3 linked regions of the Diceros bicornis minor genome follow. Each later gene encodes a partner of the first gene's protein in a complex. Links are inferred from orthologs where the notes say so. Each region holds a gene or a part of one and is shown in the gene's direction. Other genes may lie near its edges.

Region 1 (10,210 bases):
CTTAAGAAGTTGCCCTCTGCGAAATTTCACTAAATGGGAACCGTGGACCCTGCATGATGGGATTATAATCACACCAGCCACTCCTTTTACATAATTTTTTGTTTAAGATCCAGTAAGACTCCCTGTTTTTAATATATATAAAGCAATAGACATGTATATGTCGATAAACTGAGGGTTTGCGTGCCTATAGCCTGGTGCAAGCTAAAACAAAAAACCGGTGATACCACATCTACAGATCTCAATGGATTCAAAAACAATATGAAAATTTTTAGCTGACAAGAACATGTCTGCTGCCTGCAGTCCCTGCAATAGCTCACCATGTTGCCTACTAACCAAAAGATCAAAAATTATCGATTTCATGGCGCTGCGTGCTCTGGAAAGAAAAGCTACTTTAAAATTTGCATTGTTTAAGAAATGAGTTAAAAGAAAAGAATCATTTTTTTTCTGAACACTTTGGGATGTGAAAATGGCTTGTTTTAATCTTACCCATGATTTACTATAATTCTATTATTTTTAGCAGCTGGAGTCCAGAAATGATTTTTTTCGATGAATTTAGGATTTTGCCGCAGTATACATCTGCAGTCCCAGAATCCTCCGGTAAGTTAATCCTTCTTGCGTTGGGAAACGCCTTTAACCTTCTTGTGAATGAAGTATCTGCAACCATTTTGAAATTTTTAATAGAGAGGTGTTTGTGCATGTGTGTGTATGTACGTTGGGGGGTATGTCTCCAAAGCATGATTTCTTAGCAATGCAGCGGTAATTGTCTTAGTTCTTAGAAACATATACCTTTGTGTTCTATGAATATCATGGATGATGTCTCCATTGCTTCTCCTTCACACTATCTATGGTAGCCATTAAAATGTACTTTCTTAGTATGGCAATGACTGCTGTGTCAAACCAATGAAGGCCTGGAGAACACATAACTCCAAGTATGAAGAGTGTTGCTGGCATAACCACAGCGGCCATGAACAAAACTATCACTGCTGCTGCCACTGCCACCACCATGGCCATCGCCTCCCACCACCTTCACTGCCCCTCCCTCACTCTGCAGTGCACACTAGATGCAAGCTTTCCACGGTGCCTCTCTGCCGAATTTGCCCAGTGGGTTCCTAGATTACTTCTGTGTGCAAGAATAGCCAACCATGTAGTCTGACAAGAGGTATTTACAACTACTTAGCCTGTTCAGCTGGAAACAAATCAAAAGATAACACTGAACCCTGAGATGATGTATTGCAAATCAAAAGTCCCAATCCATAAATAACCCACTTGATATGCTGCTAAATGAAAAGCTGATCCTGATTATTGTCCAGTGTTTTCAGGTTGTCAAAAAGAAATATTTTTAATAGGCCTTCTTAGAGAGTTGGGATCTATTGTTTATAAATGCATGGAATATTATTTAGTCTTACCTTTCTGCTGGGAGAGGATTCTTCCCAAGGAGATTCAGATACTGAGTCCAGAGGAGACCACACCCTCATCTCACTGTTTTCTACTGTTTCTGTTTACGTTCGAGTAGGGTTGATTAACAATTACAATTATACATTAATTTAAGGGACCTAATCAAAAGGAGCCAGTCTTCCATTTCCCTCTCTCTAAAGGAGCTCATTGTCTTAGTGCTCAATAAATGTTTAATTAATGGATTTGATAAAGTTAACTATCCAAAAAGTGAACGGACCTTCTTTACAGTACTGGCTTGATTAATGTTTCTGTAGGAAGTGCAATAACAATCCGGGCATTTATTTCTTTGCCTAGAGGTGATTTAAAAGCATGTGTTTTTGTGAAGGACGCTTTACGTTCAGGTTCCATGTAGCCCCTGCTTGATATGACAATGGTCTGCTATCATGACAAGCAATACCTCCTCCGCTAACCCAGCTGGAGACACTTTGGTTTCTAGGAACACAGCTTGAAATTTAGAACCATTTGTCTTTTGCAGTTTCACAAAGTGGATTAATTTAGGTCACACCCAAGTGGCTGACTCTAGAAGGAAAAGGTGTAAAAAGATAACCCAGTGTTTTTTATGAAATGTATTGCCCAAGGTCAATTTTTTAAAATCATTTCTACAAAATCACTTATTTCACCCACTCATCAGGTATTTTGATGCTTATATTTCTCCTTGGTTTAATGACAATATCTGTCTTCACTTCACACAAGTTATTCATCTCATATTTTTGATGAGACAATTGGAACAATTTCTGTTTTTTGAGAAGCAAATAAAAATTCTGAGCAATTTGTTAAATTCAACTAATTTGTTTTAATGTCACCCAGTAATTCTTCAGTACACTTAAATTTGACAGGAAAAACAGCTTGCTGCGTTGTTGCAAATTTTACATTTCCTTTAATAACATGTGTTTGCTTAAAGTATTATTATAGATTTAAAAATCTTAATTCTAAATTTAGATTAAGATATCTAAATTACAGAAAAACGTTTCAATTATTTTGGCATCTGAATAGAGAAATACAAATATAGAAGAGTTTTTTTATCTTTTAGAGGTTCTAATGGTGCAAATATTTCTTAACTTGATTTAAGTGTGCCTTATTTAGCAAAAAAAAAAAAAAAACCAAACATAGAAAAAGGAAATATCCATACAAAAAGAACCTCTAACATTAATTAATCTGATTTTACATTATGACTTAAATCTACTGTATATTCTTTAACTCTGCATATGAGTTTTAAAATTGGGGATCAGTACCTGGAAATGCCATTTTATACTTTTGAGTTTATATTAGAAACAGTGCTTTGATGAAATACCTTTTTCTGTCAATCTGTTTGAATTATGTCCAGCCAAGTTAACCACAACCGTTGGCCACACTTACTTCTACAGAATTACTAGCAAAAATAAAAATGAGAAAGTCATCTTAGACAATGGATTTCACTGAACATCATCGTGTGTGCACTTTTTCCACTGCAGGGGCCCACATGTGCAATAGTGACAGATAGCAGTTGACATTATCACTGTATATAGTAAAATATCTTTCAGGCAGGAAAAAAAATAGAATTATTTAAAGAACAAGTTGGCCCTTAAGTATTAACTATACCGAAAACTACATATCCTACCGCATGAGTAAAGGAGTAAGTAGGTTTCCTGCTTGTATCTATGTATAAAGACCTATTGTTTGCATGCATTAATTAGAGGGATAAAAGCCTCAAGATAACTTTCACTGTTGCTTTTTGTACTCTATTGTTTTGGAGGGAAAATAAGCATAAAACAATAGGCTAGAGAAAGTGAATCGATCATAATTGTTTCAGCTTTGACAAATGCCAATCTTGCTGGATTACAATGGAGACATTTCCAAGGGAAATGAAGACTCAACTTTAGCCTATTAAAAAGAATTAGAAAATGTTTTTGAAAAACAGAAAATAAGTTTTAAAAAAATTAGAAGCTGCCTAATCGATAGTTCCTTCCATAAACAACATACTTGGATTTCTCAAATAAGTAATACCGTAGAAATGCACCTTCTCCAAAGAAAAATCCCCACAAAAAGAAAAAACAAACCTATTGATATTTAGTAATACAGTGGAACCAAACACAAATGGACTCTATAAGAATTAACCTAACGGACAGGGCTCTAGAGCTAATCCATTTCCATCAGTCATTTGTTCACAGTAGGTACTCATAGGACTTGTTGAATTGCGGGCTAGGCGCCCACTCCAACGCGAGTTCACAGCCTTCGGGAGTGCGGACAGCAGGCGGCTCGGCCCGGTAGTTCACCCAGGTTCAGGCTGAGCAGCCGGTTAGGATGCGGGATGCACGATCCGGACAGTGGGGGGCTTTAGGGTGGTGAGCGGCTGGGCTGCGAGCCACGTCCTGCAGGGAGTGTGTGGCCAGACCGCAGCGCTGGCAGAAGCCCTAACCCGCCCGAGTCCCCCGACCGACAGCGGGGCAGCGGCGGCGGCGCCCAGCAGCGCCTGGAGCGGGGCAGGCCCCGACCTCAGCGCCCGCGCCGCCGCCGCCTCGGCCCCGAACTTCTGCCCTCTCAGGGCCTGTGCCGACCGCCCGCGCGGCCCCCGAAGGCCGAGGCCGAGATGCAGCCTCCCGCGGGCGGCGGGAAGCGCGTGGCAAGCCCCGCGTCGGCTCTCACGGTTCGGGGCACACGCGGGGCGGGAGCGTCGGGCTCCGGACAGTGGAGGATCCTGGTGCCGCCCTCCCCCCACGCCACTCCGGCCCGCGGGGGCCGCGGCCCGCCCGCCTCGGACTACGGTGCCCTCCCAGGCCGCCCTCCAGTCCCGACCGGTGGGAGAGCCGCGGGGCTCTACCTAGGAGAGCGTCCGGGCAGCGCGCGGGCGCCCCGCCCCGCCCCGGGGCGTTCGGACGGCGGCAGCCGGCTCGGCGGCGCGGGGACTACTTTCCCCCGTCCACCCGCGCCCCGCCCCTTGTCCTCGCGCGGCGGAACGCTCCGCGCTGCGCCGGTGGCGGCAGGATACAGCGGCTCCTGCGCGACTTATAAGAGCTCCTTGTGCGGCGCCATTTTAAGCCTCTCGGTCTGTGGCAGCCGCGTTAGCCGGTTCCCGAGAGCGGAGAGCGAGGGGAGGCGGAGACGGAGGAAGGTCCGAGGAGCAGCTCCGGTCCCCGCCGAGCCGCCACTGCAGGCCGAGGACGGTCGGACTCCCGCGGCGGGAGGAGCCTGTTCCCCTGAGGTGCTTGGGCGCTCCTTTCCTTACCCTTCCGGGGCTGCTCCCGCTCTCTCTTCGGAGCTAAACTTCGTCGCGGGCGCGCGGTCCCGGCGGCAGCTGGAGCCCGGCTCGGCGCAGCCGTGGGGCCCGGGTTGGGAAGCAGGGGTTGCTGGCTGGGGGCGCCAGGGAGGCGGCGGGGGCGGGCCGCGCCCGGGGGGCGGAGGGCGGCGGCAGGGCCCGGGTTCCGGTAGCGCTGCGCCTCGGGGGCCCCGGGGGCGCCGCTTGCGGGGAAGGGGCGCCGCGAGGGCGCGTCCAGGAGCTCGGATGGCCGGTGCGGGGGGCCTGTGGTTTTCGTCCGGGGCTCCGGTCGCGGCCGAGTTTGGGGGAGGGACCCTGCGCCTCGGGATGCGCCGGGGCCGAGGTGGGGGGCGGGGTGGGGACGGGGGGCTCCGCCTTTCCAGCCTCAGCGGGGAGTTGGGGTCCGGTCGCTGGGCCTGGGACGCACCCTGGGTCCCATCTGCCTTGCGGATAGGGCCAGTGGACTTTCTCTCCAGATTCCCTCTTTCGTTCTTAAGGACGAATTAAGGGAATTCTTAAGAGAATTGTGTTTTTTTTTTTAACGCCCTGCCTATGTGAGTTTGGCACTGGCGCTTGTTTAAATGGAAGCAACTTTAAACCTTCAAACTATTAGTGCAGACAGTGCGATGCGTCAGTAGGGTTTGCACACAGAAAAATCCCTGTCTTGCACCTATTTTTTCTTGTACCGTGCAGTTGAGGGACAGCGGCGATGTGCAGTGTACTGGAGTCTTCTGGATTTACCGCGATGGGTGTGAGACCCTACTAAAAATAAGGGTTGGGGGGCCAGGCCAACTTGCTTGTTTCTTATCGAGCGAACCTCGGGAATTCAGCCTCTGACTGCTTTGCGAATTTTGTTCGTAGAAATTACTTATTCAGATAGTTTTTATGGCAGCTAAACTTGGTTATCCGAGCACGTTTTCTTTTCAGCGGAGTGAATTTTTCCCTCGCCACGAAATTGGTGAAATGAAATTCAAGCATTGCAGCTTCCTCCAGTGTTTTGTCTGGGGAGACGACTTTGAACAGAGACTTTCGAAGTTCTCACAGGCCGCTTTTGAATCCGCTAAACTTGAAAGCTTTGGCAGTTGGGTGTAGTTGTTTCCTTCGTTTTCTCTTCCCTTTTGGAGGGAGCATTGTTTTATACTTTGTATCTTCCAGACATCTGTGGTCTCCCCTCCCCCGGAGCTTGTGAGTGGTGAATGAAGAGAGACCGGCCTGCTGGTATGCAGAGGTCGGCAAAAGGAAATCGAGGAGTGGTTTTAGTGAAATGAGAGCTTTGTGTCATGAATAGCGGTGGCTTAGACTAGACATCAACTTGAAGAGACGGCTGTCCTTTGATAAGTCTAGGCTAATGTTTTTCGGATCGCTAAGTTATAAAATATTTTGGCATTTAGGAAGCCGTTTCATTATTGTCACTTGGTGAACATTCACTACCTTCAGATATCTTTGTGTTAACTTGTTTTCGTCCTAAGAAATATTAGACATAGCTTGAAATGTTACTTACATAATGCCGTTGTTTAGTATCTGCTTAAATTAGTGACAAACTTCTACTTTGGAGGCTTTTTTTTTTTGATCTGAACTAAGGCTTCTGCTCCATTCATTTTACTTTTTTTAAACTCAAAGTCTCTGGACTAAAAATACCATTAAGGTTTATTTGAGAGTATCGTTATACAAAATTTGATTAATTTGCACCCAATATTCATTACTTTGACCTAGTCTTTGTTCTGAAGGCCATGTACAAGGACGAGGCCCTAAAGTGATTGCAACAGTAACTTGAAAAACTTGCAGAAGACCATTCTATAGGATTAAAGGAATGCTGAGACTATTCAAGTCTGAAGTCCTTGAGGGGGGAATAAAAACCGGCACCGGAAAGTTTAGTATAGCACAAAACTTAGAGTCCTTGTGGAGTCCTAGGCCTGAGATTTTCCTGGAGGCCAGAGCAGTCATTTTAAATAGCTTTCAGGAAAAACCAAGTTTTTAAAAATAAGGTGGTTAATAAAAAAGTGAAGCATTTAACAGTGTTCAAATGTCAAGAAGCATTCGAGAGTTTTGTTGCTTATGAACTAATTGCTGACTACTTCCTTTACCAAGATTATGTAGAAAAATGTGTATTCCAGTATTAAAACTTATCAAACCATGAATTGAGCTTTCTACTGTGATGACTGAAATAAAACTTGTCCATATAAATAAAGTTCTGTATGCTTGTTTTCATAGACAGTTCCCTTTGCCCCCTCCCCAAATAGGAAGGAAAACATGAAGTAGGCAGATTTGTCTAAGGGTATTGAGATGTGATGCTTAGGAAAACTATCTGCAGATATCCTTTTTTATTGTTGGGAGGGGTGAGAAGAGGAGCATAAGTATTGTTGAAACTAGGGATGTGGAGAATTCAAGTTTGAATATCACTCTTTTATAGTTATTATAAGTTAGCAGTGAAATAAAACCCCAGAAATGGTCTACATAAGTATAGTTAGCCAAATGAAACTTTTATGTTATTGAAATGAAACAATTCATCTGTCCAGTTATAACATGATTTTGTTTCTCTTTCGTGGTTTACTAGTTGCTGATAATCCATAATTGTAGATGAGTAGGTGGTAAATTTTAAGTTTGTACTTTGAGCTTGGTTGGAAGCACGCTTGATTGCTAACCCAGGGCAGCAAGTTTGAATGCTTTTAGAGCAGGACAAACTTCTAATAAAAACTATCAGCAACTCTTTTGTAGTGCTACATGTTGACTTGTGACATTGTTTTTGAAAACATTACTGTATTCACCTAGTTGTTTTCTTGTAGCCCTCTTTTTATTGGGAATACAATATCTTTGTTGAAACAGCTTGACTGAAAACATTTTTATACCATAAAAGTAAATAATAAATATAGACGAGGAGGCTGCTTCTGATTAGTCCAGACCATGTAGCTATTGCCTCTTGTACCCTCGTTGAGAGGATACTGATTGCAGAATCAGTTCTCATTCTTTAACAGACTATTGTTTATGTAATACTATTGTAATTGTGACTGTGATAGTTAACTAGGTTAATAGGCTAAAATAAATATATATTTCTCAGGTTTCACAAAAGGAAAATAACAGTAGTCTCCCCTTACTTGAGAAGAATATGTTCCAAGACCCCCAGTGGATTCCAGAAACCACGAATAGTACCTAATCCTGTATATACTGTTTTTTCCTATACATACATCCCTATGATAAAGTTTAATTTATAAATTAGGCACAATAAGAGATTAACAATAACTAAAAATAGAACAATTATAACAAGATGCTGTAATAAAACTTAAGTGCATGTGGTCTTTCTCACAATATGTTATTGTACTGTACTCACCCTTCTTATGATGATGATGTGAGGTGATAAAATGCCTACATGATGAGATGAAGTGAGGTGAATGAGATAGGCATTGTGATGTAATGTTAGGCTACTATCGACTTTCTGACCAAAGTCAGAAGGATCATCAAAAGGATCATCTGCTTCCGGACTGTGGTTGAGGACCATGGTTGACCCTGGGTAACTGAAACCAGGGAAAGTGCAACTGCGGATAAGGTGAGACTGCTGTGTGTGTGAGATTTGTGTTGCTTGAAAATGAGTAGGAGTTAATTCGTATAGTTTTTCATCACTTAAACTCAGGAAAAAGGTCTCTGTTTCCTCTGTTTACTTAAGAAAGCTGCTTTTGTGTTTCATGCAAGACTGAGCTTGACTCAGGTTTGAAACCTAGATCCATCAGTTGAGGCCTGAATCCTGCTGTCCTTGAAGTATGTATATAATCTGCTTTCTCCCTAAGGAAAGAGAAGCTCTTAAAAGAGAAAGTCAGTCACGTTAGGAACTCCTTTTTAGAGTTTAACTACCTTTTGCATTTGTTAATTGTGGGCATCTCTTCTTTTAAGAGACATTCCCACTCCCAAAGTCACTCTCAAACCTGATTCAGCAGAGAGAGAGTAGTGTTAGGGCATGTTTTCATTGCACGCTTTGGTCATGTTGAGTGCCCTCCAGTGGATATAATGTAATGCTTGTGATTTTTCCCCCCTAGCAAGTTTGTTTGTGTGGAGTTTATTTATGAATAGTTCTCATGAGAAAGCATCAATCAAGAAATTGTTTGAATTTTAGAATAATTTATTCATATCAATACTGCTAATTAAAAGGTTGGCTTGAGAGAATGTCATCTCAACCAGTGTTTGCAAGAGAAAGGTGAAAGTTAAATTAGGGATTAAATTTTAGTTAAGTCACTTTAAACAGGCAGTTCTGTTTAAATATATCGTAATGATAAACCAAAAACTCAATATAACAATTTGGGGGTAAAAGATCGTAACGTTTAGCCATATTAATGAATTAGAGAAACAAATTCTTAGAAAAAGTTAATGAAGAAATGAATTGTCAGTTTATCTAACATCTGTTACATAGTAAAACATGAGTAAGTGCTCAACTCAGTTATATTATCAAAGAATATTATGTCTGTGTTAGGAACTAGATAGAAACTAAGCCAGTTGAGTATATGTGAACTCGAGAATATAATGCCCTAGTGACTATGGGTGTCATTTTGTATAGAGTTGTGGGCTATGATGATAGCCCACAAAATATCACTATACTGATATTTTGCCTTTTAAAATTTTCAATAAAAACCTTTCTCCATGCTCCTCTGTTAAAGTTCTTGCTATTTCTATTAGTAACATTATTTTCTGAAAATACTTGTTTCAAATCAGGTTCTGATTAGTAACAGAAATTCTGAAGCCTATTCTAAATTATCTTTTGGAAGTCAAACGGTCATTTTATGGAAAATTCTCAGAGTTTAGAAACTTATTTTTTCCTTTGTCTTCCATAATGGGTGGTTGAAATGAAATTAAAAAGTTGACAGAGTAGGGAGGGAAAATGACAGTATCACTGCTCCACTTTGCTCTTGGAATTCAATATAATTTTGTGGAAACATTGATAATGATTTTTGACTATTTAAGAAATGTATTATTGTTATATCTAATTTTTTTTCTAACAAGAAGACCTCAGTTTCATGTAAATGGTGATTTCAGAATGAATTGTGTTCCTTCATAAAGGATCACATTTGGAATTAGTAATGTCCAAGTTGATGCTTAGTATTTGCAGCATTTTCTCTCTATAGGTCAAATAGCTTCTGTTCTAATTTTCCAAGATTTTGATGAGCTATAAGAGTAGATTTGAAAGTTCTTTTAAAAATTATGTACATAAAGCTTACTGAGAAAAACGTCTACCTATTAGGGACTTAATTTATCTCTTGAAATTGGCAATATAGCATACAACAATTTGACATTCAAGATATGTGACTAAAGTAAGATTGCTTTCACAAGCCATATAGGTTGGTCTTACATTACAGTGGGAATGACTGCTCAGCGTCTCCAGGGCCAGGCAGGTATAGGGTAACTGGGGCACTGGACTAAACAAGTTGGAGAGCACATGTCCCATCTAAGCAGCCATCTTCAGCAGCTCCAGCCATTATGTGGGAATATAGTTCATGTTATCACATCATCTGACTCTTTTTTTCCTAAGAGAAGCAGGACATC
Region 2 (10,210 bases), on another chromosome or scaffold:
GAATCAGCGACTTCCCTCAGTCTCTCAGAGTGCTCCCCACACCTGCAGCCCCTCCCACACCCCTCCAGATCTCCCCACCACCCAGCAACCAGAGGGTAAAGCCTGGCACAGCAGGGGGCCTGGGACTCCACCCCCACCCCCACCCCCACCCCAGCATTCACGGCTGGTGTTCATTTTGGTTGGCCTGGTGCCCGGGTTCTACCAGTTGTTAAATATGAATATCATTGTTGCTTATTGCCCTGGATCATAAATACCTGGTTCCCTTGTCTGTTTATTCACCAGACTGAAAGCTCCTTGAGGGCAGGGAGGGCCTCCCTCACCAGCAAAGCGCTTGGCATGTGCTAGGTGCAATGAGGGTTTACTGAATGAATGAATGGATGAGTGAGTGAATGAATGAGTGTGTCCTGAAAAGTTGGAGAGTCACTCTAGAAAATGATGGGCCCCACATCCTCGGTCTGGACTCTGGAGTTTTCTTCCAGGCCTGCAATGGAAACCTTGCACTTTGCCCAGGTTTTATGGCTCCGCAGGTCTCCACCCCTGCCTGTGGAAGCTCCCTCCACCTGCCCCAGTCTGGCTCCAGCACGGCCAGCTTCACCTTTCCCTCCTGCAAAACTTGAGAAGTGTGGAACCTGGAAAGACCAAGACGCACCCCTTTCATGAGCCGGTGAGTAGGCGAGCACACGCGTGTACAACACACACACAGGAATGGACAGTCAATCAGTGCTCACTAACTAGTCCTGGTTTACCCAGAACTTTCCAGGTTTAGCACTAAAGTCCCACACTCCAGGACCCCTCTCTGTCCTGGGCAGACGGGACAGTTGGTCATCCTAGCACTGGGTTGGTTAGGTCATTCTTCTTGGACAGTGGAGGGAGCGGTGGCCTTCAGGACTGATTTCTCTGTTGCAGGTACTGAGCACAGGGCCTGGCACACAGTGGGTTTGCCACAGCTCTGCCACTTACTGGCTGTGGAAGACCACTTCACCTCTCGGTTTCCTCAAGAGGGGACAGGACAGTATCTTCCTCATAGAGGTGCGTGAGTTAACAAAAGGAAAAGTGCCTGGGTCTAGCACCTGGAACAGAGTGAGTGTTACATAAATTAGAGCCATTATTGTTGTTGTTGTCGTTATGATTATAAATTATATATGTGCATGGAAGAAAGGTCTCTAGAGGGTCCAGCCCAGTAGCATACTGGTTACGTTTGCACGGTCTGCTTTGGCGGCCCAGGGTTCCCCACAGGCCTGGATCCCAGGTGTGGAACTAGGCACTGCTCATCAAGCCATGCTGTGGCAGGCATCCCACATATAACATAGAGGAAGATGGCACAGATGTTAGCTCAGGGCCAGTCTTCCTCACACACACAAAAAAGAGAGGTCTCTAGATTTTTCTGTGTGTGAAACAAACAAAAACAGTAGGAGGTATAGGGCTACAAAAGTCACCCCTCTACTAAGCCTGCTCTTAGCGAGACAGCCCCCCACTTAAAAAAGAAAACAGTTTTATTCTGACAAAATTCATAAGCCACACAATTCACCTATTTAAAGCATTAATTTCAATGTTTTTTATTTTTTTGTGTGAGGAAGATCAGCTCTGAGCTAACATCCATGCCAATCCTCCTCTTTTTGCTGAGGAAGACCGGCCCTGAGCGGGCAGGCCTTCACGATCCACTCCCTGCAGCTTGGAGAAGGACTTGCCGAGAAGTCTGGAGAGAGCATTGTGCCGGACCTGTCCTCACTGCCCCTAATTGTTTTCTAAAATCCTTCTTATTGAGTTATCAGAGTGTAATGGAAGAGTCGATGAAAGTTGCCGCGGAGCTACAAGGCCAGGGCTTGCTGGGGGGAGGAAAGCAAAGCCCTAAAGGCTCCCTGGGCTGAGCGAAGATATAAAATATGTATTTTTACATAACTGGGAGGAAAAAATAAACGGACAAGGCAGCCCCACGGGGGAGACGCCTCTTTCTGTATTTCCATTATCTTGTTTAATGCACAGTCCGGCAGGAGCCTCAGTGGGAAAGGAAATACTGGAGCCTTTTCCCTCTGAGCCTCCTGGTGGGTTAAGAGACAGAGAGCCAAGATGCAGAAATCAAATGGCCTGGGCATGTGCTCAGAAACCCATTAAGCCTGAGGGGACAGGTTGGGGGTGGGAGGGGGCTGACCCAAAACAGTGTTTTGGTTTGAGACAACGCCTTTCCTCTGGGGTTGAGAAAGTAGCCACAATGGGCTCAGACTCACCTTTAGCTCTGGGTGAAATATTCTAAACATGGCCTTCCCCATGAGGAAGGAGGAAAGGCAGTGGTTCTTTCCAAAGAACAACCTCCACAACATTTACTGAGCAGTTGCTAGTAGGCGTCAACTACTCTGTTTAGTGATTTTCTTGCATTAGCTCCTATCAACCCATTTATATAGGTAAGAACACTGACTAGCCCAAGGTCACACAGCTAGTGAGCAGCTGACTCCACACACTGTTTTGTAGTTCTGATCACGCTTGAAGGGGGAAGGGAAAGATGGTGTCCTTATCAGGGTAGCCAACCACAAAGAAGGGGCTGGCCCCTGGCAGTCAGACAGGGAAACTGTCTAACCTAACATTTGCATGTCTATTCCTTTTTTGATCCTAAAATTATTTTACTGGGGACAGAATTCTCTAGAGAGGGTGGTGGTGGCTGTGGTGTGGTGTTAGGAGCCCCAGTCTGGGGATCAGGAATCTCAGGTTCTAGTCTTGGCTTTGAGGTTGACTTCCATGTGACATTGAAAGAGTTATTTGCAAAGAACAGGTTTGGGTGATCTCGAAAGGGTCTCTTCCAGATCTTCATTAAAGAACAGATTGAAAACTGCAGCTCCAGCTGGAAGACTATCTGAGGCCGCATGAGGTGAAGCTAATAGAACAAAGGGCTCTGGAATCAGAGGGAGATGAGTTCCAGTCCTCCCCCCACCTCCTACTGGCCTCAAATTCTTTTTTTTTTTTTCCTGAGGAAGATCAGCCCTGAGCTAATGTCCATGCCAATCCTCTTTTTGCTGAGGAAGACCAGCCCTGAGCTAACATCTATTGCCAATCCTCCTCCTTTTTTTCCCTTTTTCTCCCCAAAGCCCCAGTAGATAGTTGTATGTCATAGTTGCACATCCTTCTGGTTGCCGTATGTGGGACGTGGCCTCAGCATGGCCAGAGAAGCGGTGCGTCGGTGCGCACCCGGGATCCGAACCAGGGCCGCCAGTAGCGGAGCGGGCGCACTCAACCGCTAAGCCACGGGGCCAACTCCCAGGCCTCAAATTCTTTATGCCTTAGTTGCCTAACAAAAGGGAATAATAACAAAGCCCTTGGGTTGTTTGGAGATGAGTTTAACTGAGATGGTCAATGTCAAATGCTTAGCACAGAGCCTGGCACTGTAACTTTCAATGCCCCAGCACCTATTATTACTATTTTTATCCCTCACATCCATACAGAGCTTTTATATTGCAGGAAACACTGGTCTTATTAATTGTGTGGCAACCTCACAACAACAGAGGGAGGCGTTTGTGATTATTATTCTCATTTGGAAGGTGGAGAAACTGAGGCTTCAAAAGGTGGGTGCTACCCAGTGATCTGATTTGCAAACTCACTAACCGATGGAGACCTGCAGTTAAAGAGACAGAACTCAATTAAGCGGAAGTCCTTTCGGACCCCGGGTGTTAGTGAACCACCGCGAGGCTGGGATTCGAACCTGGTGGTAATCGCAATCGGGGAGCCCCTACACCCTACCTCGACCCTGCCAACCACCGGCCAGCGAGTCACCGGGTCGGCGCGAGGCAGGGGGGCGGATCGTGGGCGGGCCGTCCGCCCTCTGTCGAGGAAGCTGAGGCCATGGCCGTTTATTGGCTGCAGCCGGCAGGTGCACCTTCAGCCAATCAGCGGGGCTGGGGGCGGGGCCTTCGAGGCTCACCTGGCGGCCGCGGCGCTGCCCGGCTCAGTGGCGTCGGGAGTCGCGGAGCACCTGTGAGTTCGCGGAAGTCCTGCTAGATTCTAGCCCGGCCCAGCCTGGCCAGAGCCGACCTGACCCTCGCCCGGCCCACCATGGGCCCTCCGTGCCGCAGCCTCTCTGCGCTCCTACTGTTGCTGCTGCTGCAGGTACGTCGGGTCCCCGGACTGCAGGAGACGCCTTCCAGCCTCACCAACCGCGCCCCGGCCCCGCGTCCCTTCCCCTCCTCTCTCGTCGTCCCTTCGTCTCTCTCGTCGTTCCCTCTTCCACTAAGAAAGTTTGGGTCCAAAGGGCCTAAACGGCCTGGAAGCTGCGCCGCGCTCTGGACTCCCGGGAGATGGGGGTGGGAGCAGGTGAAGGGCGAGCGCGGCTCTGCCCACTCCAGCCCGCAGACACCGAGGGGGCGCGCGCCTCGCTGCAGGCGCTGGGACTCCGGTTCGCCGCGGTGTGGCGGGGAGCGGGCAGCGGGGGCTGTGGAGCAGGGTAGGGGTAGGGATATGGAAGGGGAGCCCCGGCGCAAGTCAAGGGGGAGCCAGGAGTAGTGGGTTCGATCCCTGAGGTAAGGAAAGGGAACCAATAGATAATAAAGGCACCTGCCATGTAAAGAAAGGGTAGTAAGTAGGTATGGGGGTGCCCCTGGGGTAGGAAAGTGGGGTCCAAAGGGGTTGGAGCGCCCCTCGGTATGAGGAACTAGACTTAGGAGTGAGAACGTTCCCGGTATGAGGAAAGTGGAGTTGGGAAGAGTAAAGATGCCTCCGTGAAATTGTAAAGGAGACAGGAGAGGTGCTAGGTCGGGAGGAGGTGACCAGCAGCCCCCTCTCCTGGAAGGGCCTGGGGTCCTGGCGGCCGCAGGTTTCGGAATGAAAGAGTTTGGCGTGGCTGCCTGCCCCGGGGGTGGGTCCTTCCCACAGTCCTGACGCCGGGAGCGAGGGAGGGGCGGCGCTGTTGGTTTCGATGTGGGCAGGAAGGGACCCCCCAACTCACCCCGGTTCCATACCTTTTCCCTACCCCAGGTCTCATCGTGGCTCTGCCAGGAGCCGGAGCCCTGCCGTCCCGGCTTTGGTGCCCAGAGCTACACGTTCACGGTGCCCCGGCGGCACTTGGAGACGGGCCGAGTCCTGGGCAGAGGTGAGGGCGCGCCGGCGGTGTGCTGAGCCGGGTGGGTTGGGGTAGGAGTGGAAAGTGTCCAAGAAATTGCGCTCCCACGGCCCTAGACTGAACTGGGCAAGCCCTCCTTCTCTGGCTCAAATGACACCCCTTTGAAATTTACACAGATGTAAGGATCTGAACTTTTACCCTGATTGAGCACTGTGGTTGAGGGGCTATCCTCGTATGGTTATGTTATAAGGGGGGGAGCACTTATTAGAGGCCTTCAGTGTGTCTCATAGTGTCCTGACCACTTTAGAGACAGTCTGTCATTTCAGACTGCAAAAACCTGATGTGTGAGAAGGGAGCAGTAATTCCTGTTTTACGGATGAGCAAATGGAGGCTCAGAGGGTGGAGTCCACTTGCCCAGGGTCAGCAGAACAGGAATTTGAACTAGGATCTGACTCCCAGGCCCCATTCTGCACCATCTCTGGGATGACTGAGGATCCCTCTCTTGGTTACCAGGCTGTGGCTATTACTCACAGAGATGAAAACATTTTGATACAGGTACTATTCCCTCAAGGAATAATGGTTTAAAAAAAAAAAAAGCCTGGTAGCTCTGACTCAGGTTATGAAAACGCACACAACGTAATTCTGGGCCTTATCACTGTGATCATCAGGATTTGAGAGCTTGCTCTGTTTCACTTTTCAGTGGCCCAGGAGTGAGAGCAAGGGAAAGTTAGTTTCTCTTCTGGCTTCACTGATTCCCAGGTGCTTATTTCCTACCAGGCGACTTTCTCCTCCCTCTTGATTTTAGTTGGTTGGGCAAGTTTCATAACAGTAAAAGAAACACTTTTTAAAATGAGAAATCACCCACAATTCCTCTGAGGGAATTCACCGAGTTTATTCCTCCAGTCTTTGGCCACGTGAAAAATTTGCAGCAATCATGCTGTTGTCTGAAATTCTTTTTTGAACTTTGGAAGTTGTTCCAACAGTGGGCGGGATTTTTTCTTAACAGAAACTGCAGCTTGATTGATTAAACATATTTACTTTTCTGAGGCCCGTCTGTGTTGTGTAGAGCTTTCTATTGGGTCAGGTAGGAAGTGTTGTCTGCCTGATTTTGCAGTAAGTCCGCCATTACTTGGCCAGTTCTCTGCTTGATATTCTGCCTGACTCTGTGCTGGGCACCTGGGAATGAACTGAGGAGATACAGGGGCACTCCAGCCCAGCTCTTGGTATTTCACATTCCAGCAGGTTGCTGGGAGTGTCCCAGGACCCACTTAGAGGGCACTGTGGGACGTGAACATTTAGGTGCCAAGAGTGTGGGTGGCCTGGGATGTTTTGATGGGTATCAGTGGGCAGTGAGGACTGGTTTCTGAGAGGAGGCAAAGCTGACCCAGCCTTGAGGAGCAGGTGAGGGTTAGAAAGGGAGTGTGTGCCTGTGTGTGAGGTGTCCCAACACAAGTGCTGGTCATTTTGTTTTCCTGCACCAAGATATTTGCTAGTGCCAAGGGAGGGTTAGTCTGGTTTTTATTCCTCTCCCCAAGCTCTTATGTCTGACCGCTAACAACATTATTACATGCTAGTAATAATATAAATATTATCATTATTATTAGCAGTGGCATCTATTATTTGCTTTTTAACCAGACTCTGGGGCAAAATGTTTCACATATTTTACCTCATTTAATCTTCCCAAGAACCTTATTATTTCTATTTTGTGGGTGGGGAAACTGAAGCATAAAGCAATTTAGTAATCTGCTCAGGGATCCACAGCTGGTCCTTCTCCTGTTCTCTCCGCTTCTCAATAATTCAATAATCAATCAAGAAAACAGGGTGTTTGGGGAATTGGTGTCCATTGTGAAGTAGACGTCGTGGTCCCTGTGTGCCTGGGAGAGGAGAGGTGTTGATAGAGCAGGACCCCCAGAGCAGGTGGTGGCGATGGAGATGGGTCAGATTGGGTGGGAGGCGGAGGGGGCCTGCCGCTTGTGGTCTTGGTGGGAGAGGCGGCCTCCGCAAGGCTGCTTGTGTGGCTGGTTCCAGCTCCCTTTAGGCCCATGGACCTATCCCGGTTCAACAGATTTCCTGACATTTCACTTTTTTTGGCCTTTTTGGACCATGGGGTCTCCTTCTACCCGTCCAATGTGGCATCACCCCAGGACAGAAGTCCCCTTCTGGTAAGATCACACATGTAACCTCAGGGAACTGGCTTTGTGATTAAAAAGGCAGCCAGGATTTAGGGAGGTGGCCTCCCTCTGGACACTCCAGGAAAATGGAGGGATGCCACATTAGCACCAGGTGTAAACGTTGGCCCCAGGGAGAATTTGCTGCATGGGAGTTTGAAAACAAGGAACCTGTCACTTTTTGTCACCAGTGAATGTCACAAATAGGGCTTGACCGAACTCAGGGGAGCTTGGGTTGGTTTCCTGGGGCCATTCCTGTGCCTCGTGAGATGGATGACTGCAATCACAGCCTTGTATGTACTCCGTTGGTTTCTTTCCAGATTCTAGAATGGAGAATGTTTTTTAAAAACCTGTAAACTGGTTCTTGAGAGTTTCTGATTATTTTCCTCTTTCTTAACACAAACTAGTTTGAGAAACCCAGGCTGTTAGGCAGTTTGGAATCTCAGCAGTATTATCCTAGTGTGCTCAGCTTTAAGTTGATTGAGGGGTGGGAAAAAAAAGTGGGCAGGCTTTTATTTTTTTTTAATTTTTATTTATTTATTTTTCCCCCAAAGCCCCAGTACATAGTTGTATGTCATAGCTGCACATCCTTCTAGTTGCTGTATGTGGGACGTGGCCTCAGCATGGCCGGAGAAGCAGTGCCTCGGTGTGCGCCCGGGATCCGAACCTGGGCCGCCGGTAGCGGAGTGCGCGCACTTAACCACTAAGCCAGGGGGCCGGGTGGGCAGGCTTTTAAACCAATGGTTTCCTCGCTTTGCTTCTCCACCACCTGGCATTGGGCAAACAAGGCTTATATCTGGGGTCTGAGGCCTGGCTGCTTGATGGATCAACCTAGCTCACAGACACCCACTTGTGTGGATTAACTCATCCATTTCCCCCTCTTTCTAAAAGACCTGCTGAAATGTGGTGGAAACAGTATGCAGGCCCCCCAATTAAACTGGGCTTTAAACAAACAAATACAGAAGCTTGCTTGGGGATCACCTTACATCATCGGATCCCCACTCCCCCAGCCCTCAATCTCCTAAATGTCACTTCTCCATTACTCATGGCTGTGGCAAGGGTTGAAGCAGAGCTCACTGGGGAAGGATGCTAATGGGTCATTCTCCTGCCCTTGCCTTTGTGTCTCAGGAGCAGTGGAGGTGGAAAGATCTGGGGCCCTGCAAGGCCATTTAAGGAGGTTGACTGCCACTCCTTCCCCGTGGGGCCCACTGGACCTGCCCTGCCTCTGCCAGGTGGTTATGGAAATCCCGGGTTGCTCTCCCAGGCTTTTTATTGGGTGAGCCTTTACACTTTCCTTTCCAAGCATAGCTCCAGATAAGCCAGACGCTGAAGCAATCAGCTCTCACATCGTCCAGAAGCTGCGAAAACCCTAAACTCCCCGAGAGGCATCTGTCACAATCCAGACTTTCTGGGTTTCCACTCTGCCTCAACCCCCATCTCCTTTCAGGGCTTTAGCCTTTCAAGAAGGGGAATGAACTCAGTATGAGTAAGTACATGAAAGATCCAGCTGTGAATTTCAGCTACTAGCTATGTGGCCTTGGGTAAATCACTTTACTTCTGTGAGCCTCAGTTTCCCCACGTGTAAAATAGGAGGCAGTGATACTTAGAGGTTTGTCATGAGAATTCAATGTGCATATTCGTTTATTTCGCACCTGGGCTGGACACTGGGGTTACAGTAATGGATAAAGCAGACATGGGCTGAACATAGAGCAAGTGAGAGAGATGTAAAGAAACAGGAAAGAGTTGTTAAATGGTGGCTCATTTTTCTTAGGGACAGAGTAGGGACTCAAATACTATTTTGAGCAAATGAATGAATGAATGAATATTTACTACCACTCATACCTTGGCTCATTTTTTTCCTCTCAAGCTCTCTGGCCTGAGGCCAGCCCTCAATGTTGATTGTAACTGGGCAGGAAAGATTTGGGTCTGTCAGAACTTCCTAAGATGCTTATGAGGGCTGCAGGCCAGTCAGTGGCTCTTGGAGCTGAGCTAAGTGTGTCCTGGAGATACAGTGTCCTGAGTGCTTCCCTCTGAAAGCTGCGGAGGTCAGAGAGGGAGACCTCAAACTTGAATCCAGAAATGGAAGGGCAGTTAGTAATTTTTAAGTGTTTTTCATATTTGGTCAATTAAAAAGAAATTTGTGGTGGCCTCTCTCTCTCCCTCACTAATTCAAGTTTCTCTTTAATATGCCTCAGCTTATGCTTGTTACTGTTGGGAGGGCTTTGGGCCTCCACTCTATCTGCTCTTTTCCTTCCTCTTATCTACCTCCAATCCTCTACTTCCCCCCAAGGCCCTGGTGGCATCGTCCCAACCTTTGGAAGGTTTTTGAGTCAGACTGCCTAGATTGAAATCCAAGTAACGCCCCTTGCCAGCCGAGGGACATTGGCCAAGGACTTTCTAAGCCTTAGTTTCCCCTTCTGTAAAATGGGCATAACAGCACCCAAGTCATGGGGTGTGTCAAGTGCTCAGTGAATATTAAATATTAAAGCACCTGGAGTATTGGGTGCTTTCTGTTTGAGACTCACCCGTGTTTTCCCTTTGGTTCAAATGTTTCCCTGGGCTCCCTCCCACCCAGCAAACCAGCCAAACCAGTTTCCTCACTCTCCCTGCTTCTGTGTTAAAGCAAACACTGCTCTGCAAACAGTGACGAGACCAAAGTGCCCTTTCCTAGGAGAGGAAGTTCTGTGCCATTTTCTTGCTTGCCACTGTGCAGTCGGCTTGGGTTGGGCTGAAGTGCATTTGCCTGGCTACCTGCTCATGAAGACTGTTTAGAATTGGGGTGGGGGGAGTGGGGCAAGGAGCAACTGGGGGCGGGGAAGTCAGGATGACCTAGAATTTGTCAGCTTCTGCTAAAATATTTCATAATACACATGCTTGAGGATACCTGCCTGTTTTCCCCTTGCCAAAAATGCTCTGCCCCAGCCTGAGACCTGGGTTCACCCACTTGGCTAAGCATCAAATCACCCAGGGCACTTCAAAAACACAGATTTGCCCTCCTGCA
Region 3 (10,210 bases), on another chromosome or scaffold:
AATATCTATTTTTCAAGAACCATACAAACAAAAAGATAAACATTGCCTATGGGAGGAGGGAAAAGGGAGCAGGCTAAGGCGCTAAAAGGGAATAAATAACTAGATAACTATTTTTTTAAAGTAAGATTTAAATCAGACCTGGAAACACGAGTAGAAAAGAGGGGGAAAGGGAAGTCTTCTAGAAGGGCAAAATGACTCCCACAAGCCAAGGCCAGGAGGCAGGAATGTGCTGAGCAGGTGTGGGTGGGAGAAAGGCCTGATTGAAGCAGAGGGGTGTATTAAAGCAAAGTGGGAAGTAAGGCGGGAGAGAGAGGATTGGATAAGATTAAGAAGGTCTGGAAGACCAGACAAAGGAATTTAAACAATGATAAAGTAGATAAGAGAGACATAAAAGGATTGAGCAGTGAAGAAATGTGATGAAAGTGAAATCTAAAAGAGATTATCAGATGAGGAGGACAGAGAGAGCCTGGAGTCAGAGAACTGGATTGGAGGTGAATATAGTGAACTAAGCAAAAAAAAGATGAAGGGAGTCCGGAACAGGCTACCATGGGCGGTGGAGGCTGGAAGAGACATTTTGATAGATTACTGGCTGGATACAGACACTAATAGACAAGGATAAGTCAGAGTACTCTGTGGTCTTACACTAGGAAGTTAGGGGAAGAAATTAAGTCCAATAGTAGCTGCGATTTCTCACGCTGGAAATCTAGTTTTCCAGTAAAGTGGAGCTTTAAAGGTTCTAATGATTCAGTATTCTCCTTGAGCAACTAAGCTTTAAGTCGGCTCAGAGGTGCACCCATTTTAGTGTTGGCAGAGATCTTTGTGTTCCACACGACAAAAGAGGTCCAGTTAAATTGCCCAAAGTCAACCAATTAACTAGAGAAAGGATGGGCTAGAACCAGGCCTCAACTTCTAGTCTAATAAACTTTCCTAAACTATGTTGGATATGAGGGACTTCACAGGTAATTCATAGTTGGATTTCTCAGTTTGTTTGACCACAGTGGTCAATTTTCAAGAAAGAGGATTTACCCTTTCTGTACCCAGCCCCTGCCTGCTCAGTTTCAATCTGTATACATATGAACTGTCTAGCTGGTTGGGCTTCTAAACAATAACTTCTTGTATTTGCCTTACTAATCCTTACCTCCACATGACCAGAAAAAGTGAGGACCCTCACTGACTGCCAGCCTCAACAGTCAATATTTTCATACTCCTCTATGCATAACAAAGTAAAACAAACGACTTCTCAACAGAATGGAATCTTAAAGTTTAAAAGATCTTAACCTCCCACCCAAACTGAAACCCCCTAGAAAATACCCCTGATAGATGGTTTTCCTCTATATGTTTTCAGGAATGGGGCAGTCCCTTCCTTTGTCAGGACAGCTCTGATTACTAGAAAGCTCTGAGTCTGAGTACTATGTCACTGCAGTGTGCTTCAGTGAAAATAGCACAGGCCTTAGAGTCAAGCAGACTTGGGTTAGAATCCTGACTACGTAATTTGCTGTATGACTCGAGCAAGTTATTTATCTTTTTTTTTTTTAATTTTATTCATTTATTTTTTTCCCCCAAAGCCCCAGTAGATAGTTGTATGTCATAGCTGCACATCCTTCTAGTTGCTGTACGTGGGACGTGGCCTCAGCATGGCCCAGCAAGCGGTGCGTCGGTGCGCGCCTGGGATCAGAACCCCGGGCCGCCAGCAGCGGAGCGCACGCACTTAACCGCTAAGCCACGGGGCCGGCCCTTTATCTTCTATCAGTCCCATTAACTTCATCTGTAAATTAGAGATAATAATACCTGTTTTACAGAGTTACTATGAATATTAGAGATTATGAAGCCAAAATGCCTAATACAGTGCCTGGCACAAAGAGCTAATGAAGTGATAATTATCATCGTCATCATTATCCCACCCACTGGTCCGAGTCTGCCCTCTGGAGCTACATACATATGCCTTTCAATACTTTCAAACACTTAAATTTAGTTGTCGTGTTATTCCTAAGCGCTCTTTTTTCAGAGTAAGCATCCACCAATATTTTCTCTCTTGGTTATCCTGCCCTTGGCTATGACCCTGCATATGATGTTTGTAGAACATGGTGCCCATAACTGAACAAAGTACTCCAGTAAGACCATAAGCCTCTATTCCCTAGACATTGCTCTTCAAGCTGCCTAGGACTCCTTTAGCTTTTTTGGCAACAGTGTCACATCCTGCCTTAATCCTACGAAAACTTCCAGGTAGTTTTCATACGAATGAGCTTTAAGTCTTCTCCATTTTGTACTTGTGTAGAACTCTTTCTTTGAAATTAAAAAGTAAGACTTTTTATCAACTGAAAGCCTGTTATATATTAGGTATTCTGCTGAGTTCTGTGGACATAGGGATGACTAGGACAAAGTATCAGCATACTAGAAACGTAAGCTCCACAAGTCTTTGTCTATCATGTTCACTAATGAATCCTCATTTCTTGGGATGATGTCTGCACACAATTATATGCTTAGTTTGTTGAACGAATGAATGAATAAAATAGTTTACAATGGAAATTTTCCCTATAAGTAAAAAGGAATTTCCCTAATACACTTATTTTATAAATTCAGATATTTTGTACATGCCTATCACTTTTAGCCCAACCCTAGTGTTTTTTCCACCTAGAGTAGACCTAATTTCCAAAATAAATTCGTACTGTCCCTTTCAAGGCTAGACTAAATACTTACATGCTTTATTTGCTGGATGGCGATTATATTCCACCATTGAAGGCCTTTTGTAAGTACTTGTTTGACATTTAATGCAGGGCTCACTTCTCAGGGTTAGCAGTAGCAGGTCATGCTTTCTGAGAGCTAAACATCGAGAATTTCCGGAACCGAGTTCTATCTGGCCGTGACTTGCTGTGGGGGAGAATAAGGTCCTCGGGAGAAATGTGAAGCAATGGCTTAGCAGGACCTTGAAATTTTGCATTGGTCTGCGAAGTCCTGCCAGGTGCCCATAGGCCCAGCGTCTCTGGGTCAAAATCCGTCCTGCAGACGCCAGATATATGAAATTTGGGGCTGTCCAGTTCTCTAAAACCACAGTTAGGGAGGGGCTAGGACCTCTGAGTCCTTTCACAGTTTTTTCCAGTATTTGGGCTTAAGGTGAGGCACTCGTCGCCATCTCGATATCAAATACCAGGCAAGCCGTCACTGGCGTCTTTCGGTAACCACGGAGACAGCCGTGCCGCTCCGTAGAGGCTGTAAACTACGATTCCCATCAGCTGATTATCTCTGCTTGCCGGCGAGTGTTTAGATTTGGCTTTTCGATCCCGCGACCCTGCCGCAGTGAACTGCGGGAGTTGCAGTTCGCGGTGTGGACTCACTTTTTGCTGCGGGAAGCTCCATAACTACAAATCCCGTGAGCCAGAGGGCTCACGCATGCGCACAGGACAGCCGGTCCTCCCTGGCCCCCCTGCCGGTGCCTGAAAGGTAAGAGAGGGCGGGGGGAAGGAAGAGGAGGCGGGATCCGGGAGCTGCGTTGGCTGCGGCCTGGCACCAAGGGGGCGGCCCCGGCGGAGTGCAGACCCAGTGTTCCCCGGCGATTATGGACCCGGCCGAGGCGGTGCTGCAGGAGAAAGCGCTCAAGTTTATGGTGAGGAGAAGGGGCAGGCCGGGAAACTGTGGAGGCGGTGGCGTTGGCAGCGTCGCTGAGGCTCGGGCCTGGGCCGCCCACCCGCCGGAGGAGCGGGCAGCGGGACCCTGGGCAGAGACCGGCGGCGGGGGCGGCTGAAAGGACGGGACGGGACGGCAGCTCCAGGGAGGCGGGAGGAGGTTGCGGAGAGGACCCGGGGGTGGGGGCAGCAGTTCCGCCATCTTGTGGATGAGAGGCCAAGTGACAGCGGGAGCTTAATCGGGGAGGGGGCTCTGGGTGGCGCGCGGGGCCCTGGAGTGAAAGGTGCGTGGGGACAGTTACTGAAGAGCGGAGGAAGCCGGGAGGAGAGACGCCGTGAGGCCGCTGACAGGGCCTTCTCGGTGTCAGGGTTACGGGTAAGGCCTGGGAAAGAGGTGCATTCAGGAGTGGGGAAGGGGAGCGCGGGATAGTGGGAGGAAAGATATTGCGAGTAGGGGTAGGGGAAAACGGGCAGGGCTGGATGCAGGTGGATCTAAGGGTGGAGGAGAGAAAGCCAGGGCTGGTGGGAGACTTGTAGTTTTGTAGAATGACGGAGGAGAGAGAGCTTTTGCCTTCAGGATGCAATCGCAGCTTGGCCAAACTAATGTTGACAAACTCCGGAAAGGAAGAGGCCTTACTTAGGAAGATAAGGACTGGGGATGGGGACCTAGGGCTATGGTGACAGTCTCTGGGAAAGGAAAGGGATGTTAACCATGAGCCAGGATTACAAATGTCAGAAAAGGGATACATACTCTACTTAGAAAGGAGAGGCTAAATATTGTAGTACCGACGAGGTAATGAAAAGCAAGAGGATTGGTCAGGAAAACCTGGGTACAGGAGATTGGGGGCAAAATTCATATCTAATAGGGAAAACAAAACAAAACTATTGCTAAATTGTAGAGCTAGTAAAATGTGGGGCCCAGGTGCTGTATCACTTTCTGGGAAAGGAAAGGCTGTAGAGATTAGAATCGCAAGACCCATAAGAAGTGATGAGATCAGTAGAGAAATTCAGGAGATAAAAGGGGGAATGTAGATAGTGGGGAATGGGAGATATCAAGATTGGTGGTTACTTATCAGTTTTAAGTTGAAGCACAGTATGAGCTTGGATTGGATTTTGTGGGTGTGTTTAAATCCTTTGGAACCTAGTTCTTTAACTTTGTATCATGCTTTTCTTTTGCTATGCTTATGTTTGTATAGTCTGATATTTGATGTGTTTGATCTGATGGTTCTTGTATATCCTAGGTGTAAAACCAGACTTTATGGTTACAGCTAAAGAGTGATGGGATGCATAGACTTCTATCTTAACAGGTGATCTCAGGGACATTGATATTATTTACAGTTGCATCGTGCTTTTTCAGACGTGATTGTAACTTGTCACTCTAAATCTTATTTCTTTGTTAGTTGTTATTTTGTATCTTTGCCTGAAATACTAAAACAAATCTAAATAAATATGGACACTAACCTAATTGAATTCAGGCTTTAAACTGCCCCATTTACAAGAATACTTTTTTACTAAAACTTTATTTATTTTGTATTAGTACTTTCAGAAACACCTAACTAAAGTTTGAGTGTATCATTAACAAAATTCCATTAGGCCTGAAGAAGGTTCTTGAATTTTTGCCCAATGATGAAATTCTAAAATATTAAGAAGAGACTTTGAAATTTTTTTGCACTCCAGAAGTAAGAAGAAGCTGCTTTATATCTCAAGCCAGCTTCTAGATTTAAGTCAGAAAAGTGGCAGCTGCTTATTTTTGTTTTCCTGTTTAAAGGCTGACTCGATCCTAATCTTGACACTTGTGTCAGATTTATGGAATAATGTGTGATTTACAGATCATAAAGAGACATTATGAGATCATCTTCTTTACTCCCCATTAGACCTCAGCCTAGGACGTTCTCAACTACTTGATCTCTGCTTTGTACCAGTGAGTTATGTTTCGATAATGGTCTCCTGACTGAGTTAAAGTGGACCTGGAGATTGCCATGTAGTAGTTTGCAGCTTTTAGGGCACCACACATTATTAAATGTTGAGTCAGTTTCCATAGGGAGAAGCCAATTTTTTCTTTAATTTTAGTTACTTTCATTTTTGACCTTGCCTGCTATTGTGGCTGCTGTTTGAGAAAAGGCCAATGTGAAGAGGGTCACCAAGAATGACACCTTAATAACTGAAGCAAAGAATGGAGAGTTAGAGATTTGGTATTCTTTCTCAGCTCAGTAACAGTCTTATTATGAATCTGAGTAAGTCACAACTTGCCTTTGGTCCCATTTACCCTGCTATAACATGTTGGTTTCTTCAGAATCAATTTTGAGATAGGAAGATATTTTATTTGTGCTTGCACCAAGTAATTAGTGCACAGTACACATGGAAGGGCTATCCTTTTAATCAAGTTGAAATTTTTGTATAGTATTTGCCTGTGTTTTGGCCTTACCTCTTCCTTCAGCTGTGAATTGTGAATGGCAGTTTTTGTACGGATACCCTGATTTCCAGTTTAAGAAAATGTAAAATTTGTTTAAAATGCCAACATGTAGTGGATATTCTCTTTCATGAATTTTTCTCATTACCACATTAATATGGTGCTTTGATTAGGAATTTTACAATATAATCTTATTAATGAGACTACCGAGTTGAACTCGGAACTACTAATTCCGAGTTGAACATAATTCATACATGCTCTAGGCTTAAAGTTTACCCTTGCATACTTGTGAAAAATAGTTTAAGCAGGAGGTTTAACTTCTAGACACAAATGATATTATTATTATTATTTTTTTGTGTGTGTGAGGAAGATCAGCTCTGAGCTAACATCTGTGCTAATCCTCCTCTTTTTGCTGAGGACCGGCTCTGAGCTAACGTCTATTGCCAATCCTCCTCCTTTTTTTTTTTTTTTTGCCAAAGCCCCAGTAGATAGTTGTACGTCATAGTTGCACATCCTTCTAGTTGCTGTATGTGGGACGCTGCCTCAGCATGGCCAGAGAAGCGATGCATCGGTGCGCACCCGGGATCCGAACCCCGGCCGCCAGTAGCGGAGTGTGTGCACTTAACTGCTAAGCCACGGGGCCAGCCCAGACACAAATGATATTAAAGCAGTAGTTACATTAAATAACCTATGTGCTAATATAACCTATGTGCTAATATTTCATTCAGTTTTAGGAGGTCCTTAAGGACCTTTCCTAATACTTCCTTGGTCATCACAATTATAATTCAGAAAAGATAAATGGGAACTTGAAGAGGACCTGAGAAGAGAAATGAAAATGATTGAAGGAATGTAGGCACCATTTTATAAAGAGATATATATATCTATAAATATTTATATGGGGGATGGAAGGACAAGTTGAGGGATGAATTTAAAGTTTATTTAAAAAAATTTACAGGATAAACCAGTCCCAGAATCTTAGAACTGGGGAAACGTTTGAAGCTTGGTTGAATTAATTTTAGGGCATATAAAATGGTTTTTTATTGAGTTGATGGATAAGTGAAACATTATAAAAGGTAACTTTCTGTGTAACAAACCACCCCAAAACTTAGTAGCTTAAAAAAACAATTTATTATTTCTCTCAAATCTGTGGTTGACTGACGAGTTTTCACTTTCACTTGGTATATTGGCTGGGGTGCCAGTATGGCTGGAATGTTCAAAATGTCCTCACTTACATGGCTGGCCGCTGGCTGAGAGTTCAGCTAGCGCTAAAGGCCTTCAAGTCCTCCTTTATGTAGGCCTCCTTTCTCCACATGGGCTTTGGATTTCTTTAAAGCGTGGTGCCTGGATTCTAAGAAGCAGCATTCCAGGAGACAGGAAATAGAAGCCAATCAGCCAATTCTCTTAAGTCCTAGGTTTGGAAGTCTGAGAATGTCGCTTTTGGCCCAAGAGAGTGAAGGCCAGGCCAGAGTCAGAGGGAGGGGCAATAATCTCTACTTCTAGACAAGAAGAGTGGCATGCATAAACAGAGAGGGGGAAATTGTTGGGGGCTATGCCCTTTTTTTGTAAGGAAGATCAGCCCTGAGCTAACATCTGATGCCAATCCTCCTCTTTTTTCTGAGGAAGACTGGCCCTGAGCTAACATCTGTGCCCATCTTCCTCTACTTTATATGGGACACCGTCACAGCATGGCTTGACAAGCGGTGCGTTGGTGCGCGCCTGGGATCTGAACCCACGAACTCCGGGCTGCTGCAATGGAGCACGCGGACTTAACTGCTTGTGCTACCAGGCCAGCCCTGGCCATGCCCTTTTGAGACTGGCTGCTGTAGATGCTATTCTAGTTGGATGTTCAGGCTAAAAATAGAAATGGGATCAGCCAAATTTGAGGGTAATAACACTAGGAATGCTTTGGAGGCATCTCTTTTTTGAGGTTAACTTCTTAAGGAACTAACATGATCTACATGACTTGCCTTAATGTCACTGTAGAGGTAATACTGGGTGAATTAATATGATCAGTAACTTTTCTTATTTGCTTGAGAAGCATATGTTTCTAAAAGCAAGAAAATATATTTAAAAATAAATATTCATATTTTTCACTATGATGGGCTTTTCTTTAAATCAGTGAGATTGATTACCAGCTGGTTGGATGAACATTTGAAACTAGTTCTTAGTTTAAGTTGTCAGAGTTTCTATGTATATATTACCTGTTCTCAATTTAAATTAGCCTTTAGTTTCTTTTCTGGATATTCTTATGTAGGTATTGGGGCATAAAATTACAAACTATTGATAATTCTTTGTGCTAATTTTCTTGATTTGTGTTTATAATAGATGCATATAATAGATATTGGAAGTGAATTATTAGATGTGAAATAAAATTCTTGTACTTTGAATGATTGTCAGAAATTTTTTATTGCTAAATTAGAACATGAACTTTCAAGAGAGACCACTTGTTATCTATATTATTTGAATATTATTTAAATCCTGAAAGAAAGGAAGCAGATAAGAATTTTTTCCCTTACTACGAGAGACAGGACATTATGTAAGATCTTGATCATGTATAGATAGCATTATTTTATGGTAAATGGCATTACAAGAAAAAAAAGAAAGAATGACAATGAAGAAAGAAGAAAAGAATCTTTGTGATATTAAAATATTTTAAAATCTCATCTACTTTCTAATAATGTTTTAATACAGCATGGAAGTGCTTTCTAAATATGTAGAGTAAGAATTCATGGAGGATGAAATAGAAAATATTTACCAATGTTTTAACAACTTGGTCATTGTAAAGAAAACTGCTTCTTTCCTTAGTAAACCAATCCCAGCTTCCTAAAAGTGGCAATGGAGGAGGAAAAAGTCTCAATGGGAAAGGTTCACTGGATTTTATTGTTTCAACTAGTATTCCACAAGATGCACCTTGTACTTTGGGAATCTCTGGAGAATTCCATATGTTTTCCCAAAGCCTGATTGAAACATAGCTAGAACGTTTTACAGAAGACTCAGAAACAATAACAGTGGAATAGATATGAGAGTAATGTTGAACTAAGAATGTGATTTGTTCTCTGGGGCATTACCATTGTTGTTCCTGGATTGCCTTCATATGTGGCCAGGGTGGGGGTGGGGAGCGAGGGATCAAAAGCCACAGAGCTGAGAGAGAATTCCTGCCTGCCTAAAATGAACCTTTTGAGTTGGAATTTCCTTCTGAGGTCTTGCTCCTTCCTGAGATTTGGCTCTCCCTTCAGAGTATACTTGCCTTTCCGTTCCTAGGCTTATGACCTGACCTGACCTGACTCTGTCAATAACAGGATAACCACAGTAAAATTGGGAGAGTTGTTTTTTTTTTTAATTTTTGTTTGTTTACTTTTTAAAATATAGTCAGCCTTGAAAAACAGCTAACAGCTATCATTTATTTGTTTACTGTATGCTGTTCTGAATTCTTTAGATATATTATTTCATTTAATCCTCCCAATAATCCTGTAAGATAGATTCAGTACTATTGTTACCCCCATTTTCAGATAAGGCAATTGATTCTAGAGAGGTTAAGTATCTTGCGCTAAGTCACTCTGGTAGCAAGGAGCCTGAGATCAAACCCAGGCAGTCTGACTTGAGACTCGCACTTACACTTTATTTCATCCTTGAATAACAGAGAAACAATCGAATATGATGGCGTATTTCTTTGCTAGTCATGTGGTGGCCAGAGTGGAGGAGTTACTGCTCAGACTTAATATAGATTTTCTGATTATTTGAATTACTGAGGAAATGGAGTAAGATTTTACAGTTGTCACAGTATCATTGTATCAGTTAGCAATTGCTGAGTAATAAAGAACCACAAAATATCATAGCATACAATGATAGATACTTATTCCCAGGAATATGTGGATTTGCTGAGAATTGGATGATATAGACTGGGCTTAGATGACTCTGGACTTGGCTTCTCACTCAAGACAGTTCCACACGTTGTTCTGGGACTCAGACTACAGAGGCAGTGACTTCCCAGGCAAAGCTGTTCTCATAGCTACAGCAAAGGCACAAGAGAGCAAGCCCAGTTGTTCAAGTGCCTTTCAGTCATTGGTTGTATCACACTTGCTAATATTCCATTAACCAAAGCATATCACGTGGTCAAGCCCAAAGTCAAGGGGCAGGAACGTGTACTCTGCCCAAAGAAGGACTGGGGGAGGGAGTAACT

The links.
Region 2: the proteins of CTNNB1 (region 1) and CDH1 are in contact, whole or in part, in a crystal structure (PDB 1I7W), measured with the Mus musculus proteins. The link is inferred for Diceros bicornis minor from reciprocal best matches to the Homo sapiens genes CTNNB1 and CDH1. Residues at the interface, in NP_001159374.1 of Mus musculus: Leu148, Ala149, Arg151, Ala152, Glu155, Leu156, Leu159, Asp162, Val167, Lys170, Ala171, Val173, Met174, Gln177, Leu178, Phe253, Ile256, Thr257, His260, Leu264, His265, Asn290, Lys292, Phe293, Ala295, Ile296, Asp299, Gln302, Ala305, Tyr306; in NP_033994.1 of Mus musculus: Asp788, Val789, Ala790, Pro791, Ile813, Asp814, Asn816, Leu817, Ala820, Asp821, Pro824, Ala826, Pro827, Pro828, Tyr829, Asp830, Ser831, Leu832, Leu833, Val834, Phe835, Asp836, Tyr837, Glu838, Gly839, Ser840, Gly841, Ser842, Glu843, Ala844.
Region 3: the proteins of CTNNB1 (region 1) and BTRC are in contact, whole or in part, in a crystal structure (PDB 1P22), measured with the Homo sapiens proteins. The link is inferred for Diceros bicornis minor from reciprocal best matches to the Homo sapiens genes CTNNB1 and BTRC. Residues at the interface, in NP_001091679.1 of Homo sapiens: Tyr30, Leu31, Asp32, Ser33, Gly34, Ile35, His36, Ser37, Gly38, Ala39, Thr40; in NP_378663.1 of Homo sapiens: Tyr307, Arg321, Ser345, Leu347, Ser361, Ala385, Leu387, Lys401, Arg403, Arg426, Ala427, Ala428, Asn430, Gly444, Arg467, Gly468, Ala470, Ser484, Leu508, Arg510, Tyr524, Arg557, Phe559.

The regions. Positions count from the first base shown.
Region 1 is NC_080741.1:43,546,134-43,556,343, forward strand, and holds the start of CTNNB1 (catenin beta-1), read left to right. Parts: upstream 1-4,468; 5' UTR 4,469-4,633; intron 4,634-10,210. UniProt on the Homo sapiens protein: Key downstream component of the canonical Wnt signaling pathway.
Region 2 is NC_080771.1:20,367,940-20,378,149, forward strand, and holds the start of CDH1 (cadherin-1), read left to right. Parts: upstream 1-3,946; 5' UTR 3,947-4,038; coding exon 4,039-4,092; intron 4,093-4,956; coding exon 4,957-5,071; intron 5,072-10,210.
Region 3 is NC_080745.1:66,482,458-66,492,667, forward strand, and holds the start of BTRC (F-box/WD repeat-containing protein 1A), read left to right. Parts: upstream 1-3,476; 5' UTR 3,477-3,553; coding exon 3,554-3,601; intron 3,602-10,210. UniProt on the Homo sapiens protein: Substrate recognition component of a SCF (SKP1-CUL1-F-box protein) E3 ubiquitin-protein ligase complex which mediates the ubiquitination and subsequent proteasomal degradation of target proteins. Recognizes and binds to phosphorylated target proteins.